Rattus norvegicus: one gene and its partners. The protein of the gene in region 3 interacts with the protein of the main gene of each other region in a pairwise test. Links are inferred from orthologs where the notes say so. Each region holds a gene or a part of one and is shown on either strand. Other genes may lie near its edges.

What was found.
Region 1: the proteins of Rgs2 (region 3) and Ddr1 interact in a two-hybrid assay, tested with the Homo sapiens proteins (2 studies listed by BioGRID and IntAct). The link is inferred for Rattus norvegicus from reciprocal best matches to the Homo sapiens genes RGS2 and DDR1.
Region 2: the proteins of Rgs2 (region 3) and Lrfn1 interact in a two-hybrid assay, tested with the Homo sapiens proteins (2 studies listed by BioGRID and IntAct). The link is inferred for Rattus norvegicus from reciprocal best matches to the Homo sapiens genes RGS2 and LRFN1.

The regions. Positions count from the first base shown.
Region 1 is NC_086038.1:3,060,042-3,064,002, forward strand, and holds part of Ddr1 (epithelial discoidin domain-containing receptor 1 precursor), read left to right. Parts: intron 1-358; coding exon 359-545; intron 546-622; coding exon 623-869; intron 870-1,818; coding exon 1,819-1,902; intron 1,903-1,993; coding exon 1,994-2,145; intron 2,146-3,519; coding exon 3,520-3,685; intron 3,686-3,961. UniProt on the Homo sapiens protein: Tyrosine kinase that functions as a cell surface receptor for fibrillar collagen and regulates cell attachment to the extracellular matrix, remodeling of the extracellular matrix, cell migration, differentiation, survival and cell proliferation.
Region 2 is NC_086019.1:92,886,792-92,889,581, forward strand, and holds the end of Lrfn1 (leucine-rich repeat and fibronectin type III domain-containing protein 1 precursor), read left to right. Parts: intron 1-517; coding exon 518-1,412; 3' UTR 1,413-2,193; downstream 2,194-2,790. UniProt on the Homo sapiens protein: Promotes neurite outgrowth in hippocampal neurons. Involved in the regulation and maintenance of excitatory synapses. Induces the clustering of excitatory postsynaptic proteins, including DLG4, DLGAP1, GRIA1 and GRIN1.
Region 3 is NC_086031.1:58,349,547-58,354,041, reverse strand, and holds Rgs2 (regulator of G-protein signaling 2), read left to right. Parts: upstream 1-1,375; coding exon 1,376-1,485; intron 1,486-2,514; coding exon 2,515-2,616; intron 2,617-2,725; coding exon 2,726-2,787; intron 2,788-3,324; coding exon 3,325-3,491; intron 3,492-3,735; coding exon 3,736-3,930; 3' UTR 3,931-3,979; downstream 3,980-4,495. UniProt on the Homo sapiens protein: Regulates G protein-coupled receptor signaling cascades. Inhibits signal transduction by increasing the GTPase activity of G protein alpha subunits, thereby driving them into their inactive GDP-bound form.

The DNA of each region.
Region 1 (3,961 bases), on a different chromosome or scaffold from region 3:
CCAAACGAGGCTCCACCCCAGCTGAGAATATCTGTTGGGGATGGTCACAATGAATACACCGCAGACCAAACCGTGCACCTTAGTGATGGCACTTCAACCGTGTGCAACCCACAGAGTCTCCTGTGGTAGTTTGGGCTATAGTGCACAGGGAGGAGAACCTTGCATGGCACTGGGGTGGGCTGGGAAGGAAGAGTCAGTGAGAATCGGGCTTCCAGGCCGCTACTGGGTGTGTGTGTGTGTGTGTGTGTGTGTGTGTGTGTGTGTGTGTGTGTGCGCGCGCGCGCGCGCGCGCGCGCAGAAAACACGGGTGGTCCCTACCATCTTCCCTCAACGTTCCCTTCCCCTTCCCTCCGTTCAGGCTGCAGTACGGTGGTCTGGGCCAACTGGCAGACGGCGTGGTGGGGCTGGATGATTTCAGGCAGAGCCAGGAGCTGCGGGTTTGGCCAGGCTATGACTATGTGGGATGGAGCAACCATAGCTTCCCCAGCGGCTACGTGGAGATGGAGTTTGAGTTTGACCGGCTGAGGTCTTTCCAGACCATGCAGGTGAGTGAGCTCCGTTCTCTGGGAGGGAGCTCTTGGGTTTTCCTGGCCTTGACTCAGTGTTTTCCTCTTAACCTCAGGTCCACTGTAACAACATGCACACTCTGGGAGCCCGCCTCCCAGGCGGGGTGGAATGCCGGTTTAAAAGGGGTCCGGCCATGGCCTGGGAAGGAGAGCCTGTACGCCATGCCCTGGGGGGTAGCCTTGGAGACCCCAGAGCCAGGGCCATCTCGGTGCCCCTGGGTGGTCACGTGGGCCGCTTCCTGCAGTGCAGATTCCTCTTTGCAGGACCCTGGTTACTCTTCAGTGAGATCTCTTTCATCTCGGGTAAGCCCCCAGTGTGTGCCAGCCTTAGCCCCTTAGGTTTCCCTGTCATCAGACAGTTAATCCTGTGGCGTCCTGATATTCTGTCACCCCCGAGATTCTCAAACTAAGGTGGAATAATCAGACCCCGGTTCTTTTGTAGAGTCTTTGTTTTGTTTTGTTTTGGGTTTTTTGTTTGTTTGTTTTTGGTGTTTTACAGACTTTTTTATTTTATTCTGTTTTTGAGACAAGGTCTCACTTTACGGTCCTGGCTGCCCTGTAACTCACAGAATTAGGCCTGCCTCTGCCTTCAAGTGCTGGGATTAAAAGCATGCGCCACCACATCCAGGCAGATTATTCTTAAATATAATTTAAAATTTAAAAATGGGGCTGGAGAAATGGCTCAGTGATCAAGAGCACCGACTGCTCTTCCAGAAGTCTTGAGTTCAAATCCCAGCAACCACAACCATCCGTAATAAGATTTGATGCCCTCTTCTGGTGTGTCTGAAGACAGCTACAGTGTACTTATATATAATAAGTAAATCTTTAAAAAATAAAATTTAAAAACGATTCTGTTACCTAACTTGGGCCAGCCTAAAATAAATTTCAACGATTTCCTGTGCCTCAGCCTCCTAAGCCATTAGGATTATTGGCGTGTACGGTCCCTTTTCACCAAATCTCTCTGTGTTTCCTGTATAAGTTCCCCCATTCCCGATTCATCCTGAGTGAGGGAAGTCTGTTTAAGCCTGAAAGACTTCTGTTCTGCCTAGATGAGGAACAGCCTCTTTTCTAAGCCTGCGGGGCCCCGCCCCAATTTATCCACTTCCGGTTGGCCAGGGACTCCCCAGATGCGGTACCTGTGAGGTTGCTCTGGGTAATCACTAACCACCTGCCCTCCTTAGTTCGCCAGGTCTCACACAGCTGTGTCCCCTCTGGTCCTCACTCCCTCTTGACTTTTCTTCCTTCTCCCCAGATGTGGTGAACGACTCGTCTGACACCTTCCCACCAGCCCCCTGGTGGCCGCCTGGCCCGCCTCCCACCAACTTCAGCAGCTTGGGTGAGCAGTCTTTGACCTCAGCTCCTCCTGGGTCTTCCCCTCCGGTGGGGTAGGCCACCCCGCTGTGGTGCTGACCTTTCTCTTCTATCAGAGCTGGAGCCCCGGGGTCAACAGCCTGTGGCCAAGGCGGAGGGGAGCCCAACTGCCATCCTCATTGGCTGCCTGGTGGCCATCATCCTTCTCCTCCTCCTTATCATTGCCCTGATGCTCTGGAGGCTGCACTGGCGCCGGCTGCTCAGCAAGGTGAGCAGGGATGTGTGTGTGTGTGTGTGTGTGTGTGTGTGTGTGAGTGTGCACACATGTGTGTACATGGGAGTGACATGTGTCAGTGTATGTTTATGTGCATGTGTGTGCGCATTGTGTGAGTTGTGTAGGACTGTGTATACAAGTGTGAAAGTGCATGTGTGTGAGTGTGTGCATGTACATGTGTGCATGTGTTTGAGTGTGTATAAGACTGTACACGAGTGTGAAAGTATATGTGAGTGGCTGCTCAGCAAAGTGGGCAGGGCAGTGTGTGTATGAGTAAGTGTGTGTGTGTGCATGTGCATGAGTGTGTGTATGACTGTGTACAAGTGTGAGAGTGCATGTGTGTCGTATGTATGTGAGTGTGTGAGAATGTGTGTGAGTATTGAATATATGAGTATGTATGCATGCATATTGAGTGCATGTGTGAGTGTGTGCATGTGTGTATGTAAGTGCAGTGTTTTTGTGTGTGCATTTGTGTATGTGTACATGTGTGTATACAAGTGTGTGTGAATGTGGATGAGTGTTGTATGTATGAGTATATTTGTTTGGATGTGTGTGTGAGTGAATGTGGGTGAGTGTTTTATGTTTGAGTGTATGAGTGTGTGTGTTTGGATGTGTGTGTGTGTGAATGTGGGTGAGTGTTGTATTTTTGAGTGTATGAGTGTGTAGGTGTGTGTGAACATATGTGTGTGTTGTATGTATGAGTGTATGTGTTTGAGTGTATTTGAGTGTAGGTGTATGCGTGTATGTGCTCTCATGCAGAATCAGGGGCCAGTAGGATCTGTAGGGTGTGGACTAATCTCAGAAACAGACCATTCTCAAGAGTGGGCATGAGTGTGTCAGTAATACCATGTGAGTTGGCTCCCACCTCTGTGGGCCTCATTGGGTGAGAGGACTTGGCTGTTACCAGAGCTAGGGAGGAGCAAGAGCCAGAGAGTCCCTACTTGGTCCCTTGAAAGAGGCAGGGCCTTCTGGTACAGGATGTAGCAGGCAGCAGGGCAGCCCTCCCTCAGGGAAGAGCCCTGAGGACAGATCCTCACCTCACATTCTGTCCCTCAGCCAGCGCTGTCTTCCTCCCCTGCCATTCTCTAATCAAGCCCAACCAGCCTGTGGGGAGCAAAAGCCGAAGAGTAGGGGAGCGAAGGAGACAATAATCGGGTCGCTCGCTCTCCGTATGCCCTGGACTTCCACGTGTCCATTGTGGCTGATAATTAGGGTCTCGTCAGATTTGGGTTGGGTCCTGTGGTGTGACCTCAGGGAAGTGGGGCCATAGGAGCTACAGCTGTTAGGCTGCCGTGAGTGGAGAACAGAGCAACTCAGGAAGCCATGCTAAGCAGTGGCTCAGGCAAAATTGTCTAATCCCATAATTAGGCAGAGCGCCGGGTGTTGGAGGAGGAGCTGACGGTTCACCTCTCTGTCCCTGGGGACACCATCCTCATCAACAACCGCCCAGGGCCCCGAGAGCCACCCCCTTACCAGGAACCCCGGCCTCGGGGGACTCCAACTCACTCTGCGCCCTGCGTCCCCAATGGCTCTGGTAAGGCCTGCCTTGTTCCAGTGCCACCATGTCTTGTCTTCTGCCTGTATCCTTACCGTAGCCCTCCTTCTCCTGTACTGTCTATACCAGTTCTGACTCATTTTTCTCATTTCTATCCATCTCCATAAAGTCTCCCCCAAGGCTTTCCTGTCTGTTACCTACAATGCCAGTGGGCCCATCCTGTCACTGTGTGGTAGACTTCTGTTGTGCCCCTCTCCTTGTCTCCCTACCCTCCACATTTATCTGTCCATCTGTCCATCCATCCACTCACTTAAC
Region 2 (2,790 bases), on a different chromosome or scaffold from region 3:
TAGCTCGATTGATGGAGTACTTCCAGGAAGCCCCGGATTTGTTCCCTACAACCACAAAAACAAAACCAAACAAACCAATATGTCTGTACATGTCTATAAGCCTGAAATTCCAGCATTCAGGAAGTGGACACTGGATGAAGACCGGGAATTACAAGTCCACCATTGTTGACTCCAGTGTCCATCTGGAAGGAGGAGTGGCTATAGCATTGATCTCCTTAAACTGTTGTAGCTAAGTACAGGCGATGGAGCTTGAGTGGCAGTTGTCCAAGGTAGAGCAGAGATAGTCCCAGTAGGTGATGCTAAAGGCTGGAGGTTCTGGAGGCGGGGCATATAGATGAGGGGGTGTGGTCTGGAGCAGTGATGAAAGGCTGGCAATAAATTGTTGGAGGAGAGACTTGACTGGATCCTGTAGTCTGCGTAGACATTAGTAGCACGGTTTCCCACCGTTAGGGCGCAAAGTGAAGGGACATGGTTAAGAATGGGACTAACTGCGTCCTGATCGCACCCCTTTCCACAGGATGATCCCTTCTACCAGCCAGACCTTCCTGGTGAATGATTTGGCGGCTGGCCGCGCCTATGATTTGTGTGTGTTGGCAGTCTACGACGATGGGGCCACCGCTCTGCCGGCCACCAGAGTGGTGGGCTGTGTGCAATTCACCACCGCGGGAGATCCTGCACCATGCCGCCCGCTGAGGGCCCACTTCTTGGGCGGCACCATGATCATCGCCATCGGGGGCGTCATCGTAGCCTCGGTCCTCGTTTTCATCGTTCTGCTCATGATTCGCTACAAAGTGTATGGCGATGGGGACAGCCGCCGCATCAAGGGGACGTCCAGATCGCCCCCTCGGGTCAGCCACGTGTGCTCTCAGACCAATGGTTCAAGTGCACAGCAAGCCTCCGCCCCACCAGCTCCAGACCGCTACGAGGCGCTGCGGGAGGTGGCTGTCCCTGCAGCCATCGAGGCAAAGGCCATGGAGGCCGAGGCGACTTCCACTGAGCTAGAGGTGGTGCTTGGACGCTCTCTGGGTGGCTCGGCCACCTCTCTGTGCTTGCTGCCCTCCGAGGAAACTTCAGGGGAGGAATCTAGGGCCGTAACCGGCCCTCGAAGGAGCCGTTCGGGGGCCTTGGGGCCTCCAACTTCAGCACCCCCAACGCTAGCTCTGGTTCGTGGGGGATCCCCGGCCCGGCCGAGGCCACAACAACGCTATTCCTTTGATGGGGACTACGGGGCGCTGTTCCAGAGTCACAGTTACCCGCGCCGCGCCCGGCGGACAAAGCGCCACCGGTCCACGCCCCACCTGGACGGGGCTGGAGGGGGCGCGGCCGGGGAGGACGGAGACCTGGGGCTGGGCTCCGCCCGGGCACGCCTGGCCTTCACCAGCACCGAATGGATGCTGGAGAGTACGGTGTGAGCGGCGGGCGCACGGGCACCGGGACGCCTGTGGGCCGCACTTAGTTGCCCAGCCCGGCCGGATGCGGGGGAGGCTGGAGAGAAGGGACGCGCGAGGGGCGGGGCCTACCGCAGTCAAGGCCACGCCCACCAGCCTCCGGATTGGAGGAAGGCCGCCGGCCTCTCCGACTCCACCCCTCTGCCCTGTCCCCCGCGCGCTCGCGGACCTCGCCGGAGCCGGTGCCTTACACAGCGAAGCGCGGGGAGGGGCGGGGCCCCCCCACACTGCAGCACTGAGACACGAGTCCCCTACCCTACCCGGGACCCTGGGGCAGGGGCGAGGGGCCCATTCCTTGTATCTGGCTGGACTAGATCTCTTCTGCCCCGCGGCGGCCTCCAAAGCCTCCCGTCCCCTCACCCAGCCCCATCCCTGGTCCCACCAGTCTGGTTTGGAGGGAGGGGCTTCTTTTTTCTCTCTATGTCCTAGTCTTTCCTGCCCTCTGTCGTCTGTTTTAAGTCCTTCCCTACTTGTCTCCCTTTTTTCTGTCCCATTGTCGTCTCTTCTCCCTCTGCCCTCCCTTGTTTTTGGTTTTTTGTTTGTTTGTTTGTTTTTTGTTTTGTCCAGTGTCCGTGTCTCTCCCGATTCCCTGTCCTCACCATCTTCCGGGCAGGTCCCACTGAAGGACCAGACTCTTCTATCTTCCTTATCCCCACAATGAATTCCCCACACAAACAAAAACCAAATCCCACTCCGGAGCCGGGACCCTCCGCCGCAGCAGAATTAAACTTTTTTCTGTGTCTGAGGCGGCTCTGCTGACGTGTGTGTGTGTGTGTGTGTGCGCGCGTGTGTGTGCGTGTGTGTGTGTGCGCGCGTGTGTGTGCGTGTGTGTGTGCGCGCGTGTGTGTGCGTGTGTGTGTGCGCGCGCGCGCGTGTTTTGGGGGTAGGAGGATTCTGAATCAGACTGAAGAGGACATGACAGTGGGCATGAGGAGACTGGAAGGCAGACTCGGAGGTGGGGAGAAACAAAAATGATAGTGACAGGTGGCTAGTATGTGGGTAACCTTTAAACCATCCAATCTTTAAAATTATCTTAGGACATCACACTGTTAGCCCATTTTAGAGATGAGAACGCTGAGAACAGGTGGAATAGATAACATGTCCTGGCATAACCAGAGGGTGGAAAATTAAGATTCGTTTATTTAATATTGATTCCAGCTGGGCATAGTGGCTCTTGCCTTTAAGCCCAAAACTCAGAAGGCAGAGACTGGGGGATGTCTTATGATCTCTGATCTTGAGGCCAGCCTAGTCTACAGAATGAGTTCTAGATAAGCTAGGGCTACATGGTAAGTATATCTGAAAACAACAAAAAGCAATTCTCCATGCAGTGTTTTCTTACTGA
Region 3 (4,495 bases):
TGATATTCCTTCTATAATAAAGGCTGTAGCAATTTTCTTCATTAGCGACTGCAGACTTTAGTTTCTGACTCAAACCTGGAGCTCAACCATGCACAGCTTGTAACAATGTGTTGCTTGGATCCCAGTTTGAGGGTCTTCATTTTCCTTTTAGTGGGTCTAGTATGAAACAGAATAACTGGAGCCTAAGCTGTACCTTTTTGTTAGTCTATCTGTTGAGACTTTATGGGAAAACCACTTAGGTATTGCACCGCATCATTCTGGTAACATAGGAAGCTGAATCAGTTTGTAGTTGAAGTCACGTATTGGTTCTTACAAATCAGGGCATATTAAACCCTGCAGGAGCAAAGACCTGATTCTGAGGATATCGCAAATGAAGCTTGTCCAAACAGATTACACCTACGGGCTCTCACATCTAGCTCTAGCCCCCAACCTTAATTTAAGCAATTGAACATCTGGTAAATCCTAAGCCTGTTCAACTGAGAATGACTCATGAGGAAATCCTGATTCCTTACACCCTGAAACTACAAATGATCCGGGTGCAGCCGAACTGGGAATCTTGGGTTTCCCTTTGTATTTCTCACTTATCACTCAGATCTATGCTATGCCCGGAGGGAGATGCCCATCAGGGAGATGCCCATCGGGTCTCCTGGGGAACGACCTTGCAACGTCACAGCCTGCTGCAACCATGCATTTAAAGATCAAGACTGCAGAACCATTTAAAACACCAGGTTTTAAGAAACACTTTCTCCTGCTTCCTCCCTGAGCAGCCTGTATTCCCTTAAGGAAATCCAAGGTGCCTCAGAGAGCTACAGAGTCACAGCACCTAGTTCAGTAGCCTGTGTTTCAGGGTTCTCTTGTTGTTGATTTCCTTCTCCAAAACAGGTGGAGTGGCCGAGTGCAGTCAGCAGGACTCTCCCCATCCCGGCTTCAGTTTATAGGTGTCCGGATGAACAAAAGACAAGTTGCAAAGGTGGGGGGCACACACCACAAACCACACGCGCGCGCGCGCGCACACACACACACTACGGTCTTCACTCAAGAAAAAGCCACAAATTCAGGACCCTTCACGGCTGTGGCCGCCTGAGCTGCCTAACAGCGATCGCTCTCTGTCCCCGCCCGCCACCTCCCACCCTGTGTGCGCACGAGGATGCGGCGCCTACGTCAACAGCGCCCTCACTTCCAGACCCTTCGGCGGCTGCCGTGACTGCCGCAGGCCCGCGTGACCCCGCCCTCGTGCCGTCTGCAGTGGGCCAATCCGCGCCCTCTAGAGGTGTGGCCGACGCCTCCAAGTCCCGCCCCTGCGCCGCCGCCCGCCTTAAAAGCTCGCGCCGCGCTCCGGGCGGCAAACAGCTGCGGTGGCCGCGGGTGTCTGAGAATGCAAAGTGCCATGTTCCTGGCTGTCCAGCACGACTGCGTACCCATGGACAAGAGCGCAGGCAACGGCCCCAAGGTCGAGGAGAAGCGGGAGAAAATGAAGCGGACACTGTGAGTATGCCCTCTCTTCCTAAGAGTTCCTACCCTGCCTGGCTTTGCTGCTAGGGACCGACCTTCTCTCGATCTCGGCTAGGAATACTCTAGACTGCGCCTCTGCAAAGAAAGTGTGGGAGAGTTGGGGGCTTGTGGGGGAGAGAAAAAGTTAGCTTGCTAGATCTGGTGGTATGTGCTTTTTCTATGTGAGCTCAGAGAGTTTAAGAACTGTAGGAAATGGTCGAAGAAGGTGGCGGTAGATGGGCTGAGAAGGCGCTGGTTGGCTTTTTTTTTTTTTTTTTTTTTTTTTGTTCTGCATTTAATGTAGCATCAGACTCCTGCAGCGGAATGAAGTCCACCGGCGCCTAGTCGTTGCATTGTTAGTTCTGAGCTGCTTGCATAGCTGCTGGGTGGGGATGTTTGAATTGATTCTCAATGTATGCGATCCGTTTTTAAATCATAAAGTAGGTCTCACCCAGTCACGACTATGGAATGAGTAATTCGCTCTGCAGTATCTGCTGCAGAGAAGCACTGTGGGCGGCCTGAGAAGGGAGCTAGGGAATCCAACACACACACACACACACACACACACCTATGCATTGTCTCTGGCATAGTCCAGACCCTCCAACACACACACACACACACACACACACACACACACACACACACACACACACCCCTATGCATTGTCTCTGGCATAGTCCAGACCCTCCTGCCTCCGGTGCAGAAAGGGAAAAAACAGCAGCTGTTCTCAATCACAAAATGTCAGCAAGTTGTAGTCAACCACACAGAAAAACCTCTATCTGTTTATTAGGTCAGAAATAGCTGGTGAAAATGTAAACTGCCTTAGGTCTTACCTAGTTCTATCCTGCTTGTGAAGCTCATTATAGTCAGACTAATGGAGAAAAGCCAGGAGGTGCTGGGTTTAAATGCTAAGGGAATGAGACTCATTGTCTGCTTTGTCTGTAGCTACTGCAACTGATGATAATTTTACCATTCAAGAATTGCTACTTGAAGTATATTTTCTTTCTTTCTTTTTTCTTCCAGCTTAAAAGATTGGAAGACCCGTTTGAGCTATTTCTTGCAAAACTCCTCTACTCCTGGGAAGCCCAAAACTGGCAAGAAAAGCAAACAGCAAACTTTTATCAAGTGAGTTTCAAATCCTGTAGTTACAGAGATGAGTATCTGGTCAAACCAGTGGACAGGAAAGGGGAGCTGTCATGTGTGGTGAAGCTCATGTGTGGAACTTCTCTTGCAGGCCTTCTCCTGAGGAAGCGCTGCTCTGGGCAGAAGCATTTGATGAACTGCTGGCCAGCAAATGTAAGTTAACCTCTTGAATGTGATCTCTTGCCGGTATCTCAAAAGCCTAGAAATGTTCCCTTCGCACCACAAAATGAGCAGTTTGCAAGAAATGCATTAGACATTACCACCACCGACAGTACAAAGCCTGTTTCTCTTTCCCTTATATCACTAAGTTTAATCATAGGGAAGCAAGAGGTATTCAACTCAGGTGGGGAAGAAAAATTAGCCTAAAAATTAAGATGCCAGTTACTCATAGCTGATTGAGTCAGCTTTTCCATTACATAGAATATTTTCAAAAGCCCTAGTTCCTAGTGGACTTAGAGTCGTCCTGTAAATACTGGTCTTGGCATTGACAGGGAAGTTAAGTATACTTTTTGTTGCAGACTACAAACTTAAGCGTTTTGCTTACTGGCATCTTAGTGCTTAAAGAGCTAGACTTCCAGAATGACAGGCTTGAATGAAGTCTAGGAAACTGATCATTTTGTACTAGGAGAGCTGTGTGTAATTCGGCCATTCCATTCATATTCTTCATACCGCGTCTCCTTGTGCTTCCAGATGGGCTTGCTGCATTCAGAGCGTTTTTAAAGTCCGAGTTCTGTGAAGAAAATATTGAATTCTGGTTGGCTTGCGAAGACTTCAAGAAAACCAAATCACCACAGAAACTGTCCTCAAAAGCAAGGAAAATATACACCGACTTCATCGAGAAGGAAGCTCCCAAAGAGGTAAGAAAGCAGGTTCCTCAGATCGTCTTCAATACTGAAGGGAAACACGAGACTTGAATACACTGCGTTCATACTCACGGGAGAGGAGCCGTGTATGGCTCTCACCCCAGCTCTCCTAACATTTAAGTTTCTCCCAAAACTGACAGTTATAACTGATCACAAACTATACCTTCATGTTTTATTATTAAGCATCGGTCTGTACCATTGAATAGCAAATAAATGGAGTTTTCTTTTGTTCTTTCAGATAAACATAGACTTTCAAACAAAAACTCTGATTGCCCAAAATATCCAAGAGGCTACAAGTGGCTGCTTCACCACAGCGCAGAAGAGGGTGTACAGCCTGATGGAGAACAACTCTTATCCTCGTTTCTTGGAATCAGAATTTTATCAGGACTTGTGTAAAAAGCCACAGATCACCACGGAGCCCCATGCTACATGAGACAGGGAGACCCCCACCGAGGACATTCCATTCTGTCTCCCGAGAGCAAAGGCTGTAACCTGCCAGAAAAAAAAAACAAACTGACCTTGAATTCAGCCTGAGTGTTAGGAAAACATCGCTCAGAACTATTGATTCAATGTTGGGTAGTGAATCAGGAAGCCAGCAACCTAGGAGAGTCTCTGTGAGAAGTTTCCCTTGCTGTGTGAAGAACAGAGGGAGGGAACAGGGTTCTGAATGGGCTCGTCCCTGTCAGGAAAGCAGGGTGTGAGATGAAAGATACAATGGAATGTTGTTGGAGCATTTAAAATCAATAGGTCTGGGATTATGTGGCCTTAGCTAGCTGGCTGTACACCTTTCCCTGAACTAGTCCATGTTACCACGTAGTGGTTTTAGTTCTAGTTTTAATATTTTAGTACTAAGTAACATTATAATGTTTACTGTGTGCAAGGGTGTTGACTGACGTTCTTAGGACTACAGATCATTAATACTATTGTGTCATGTATCACTGAAACTGAAAAAGCGTGTTTGCATTGTTAAATGGTGTGTGTGATAGAGTGAATGCTGT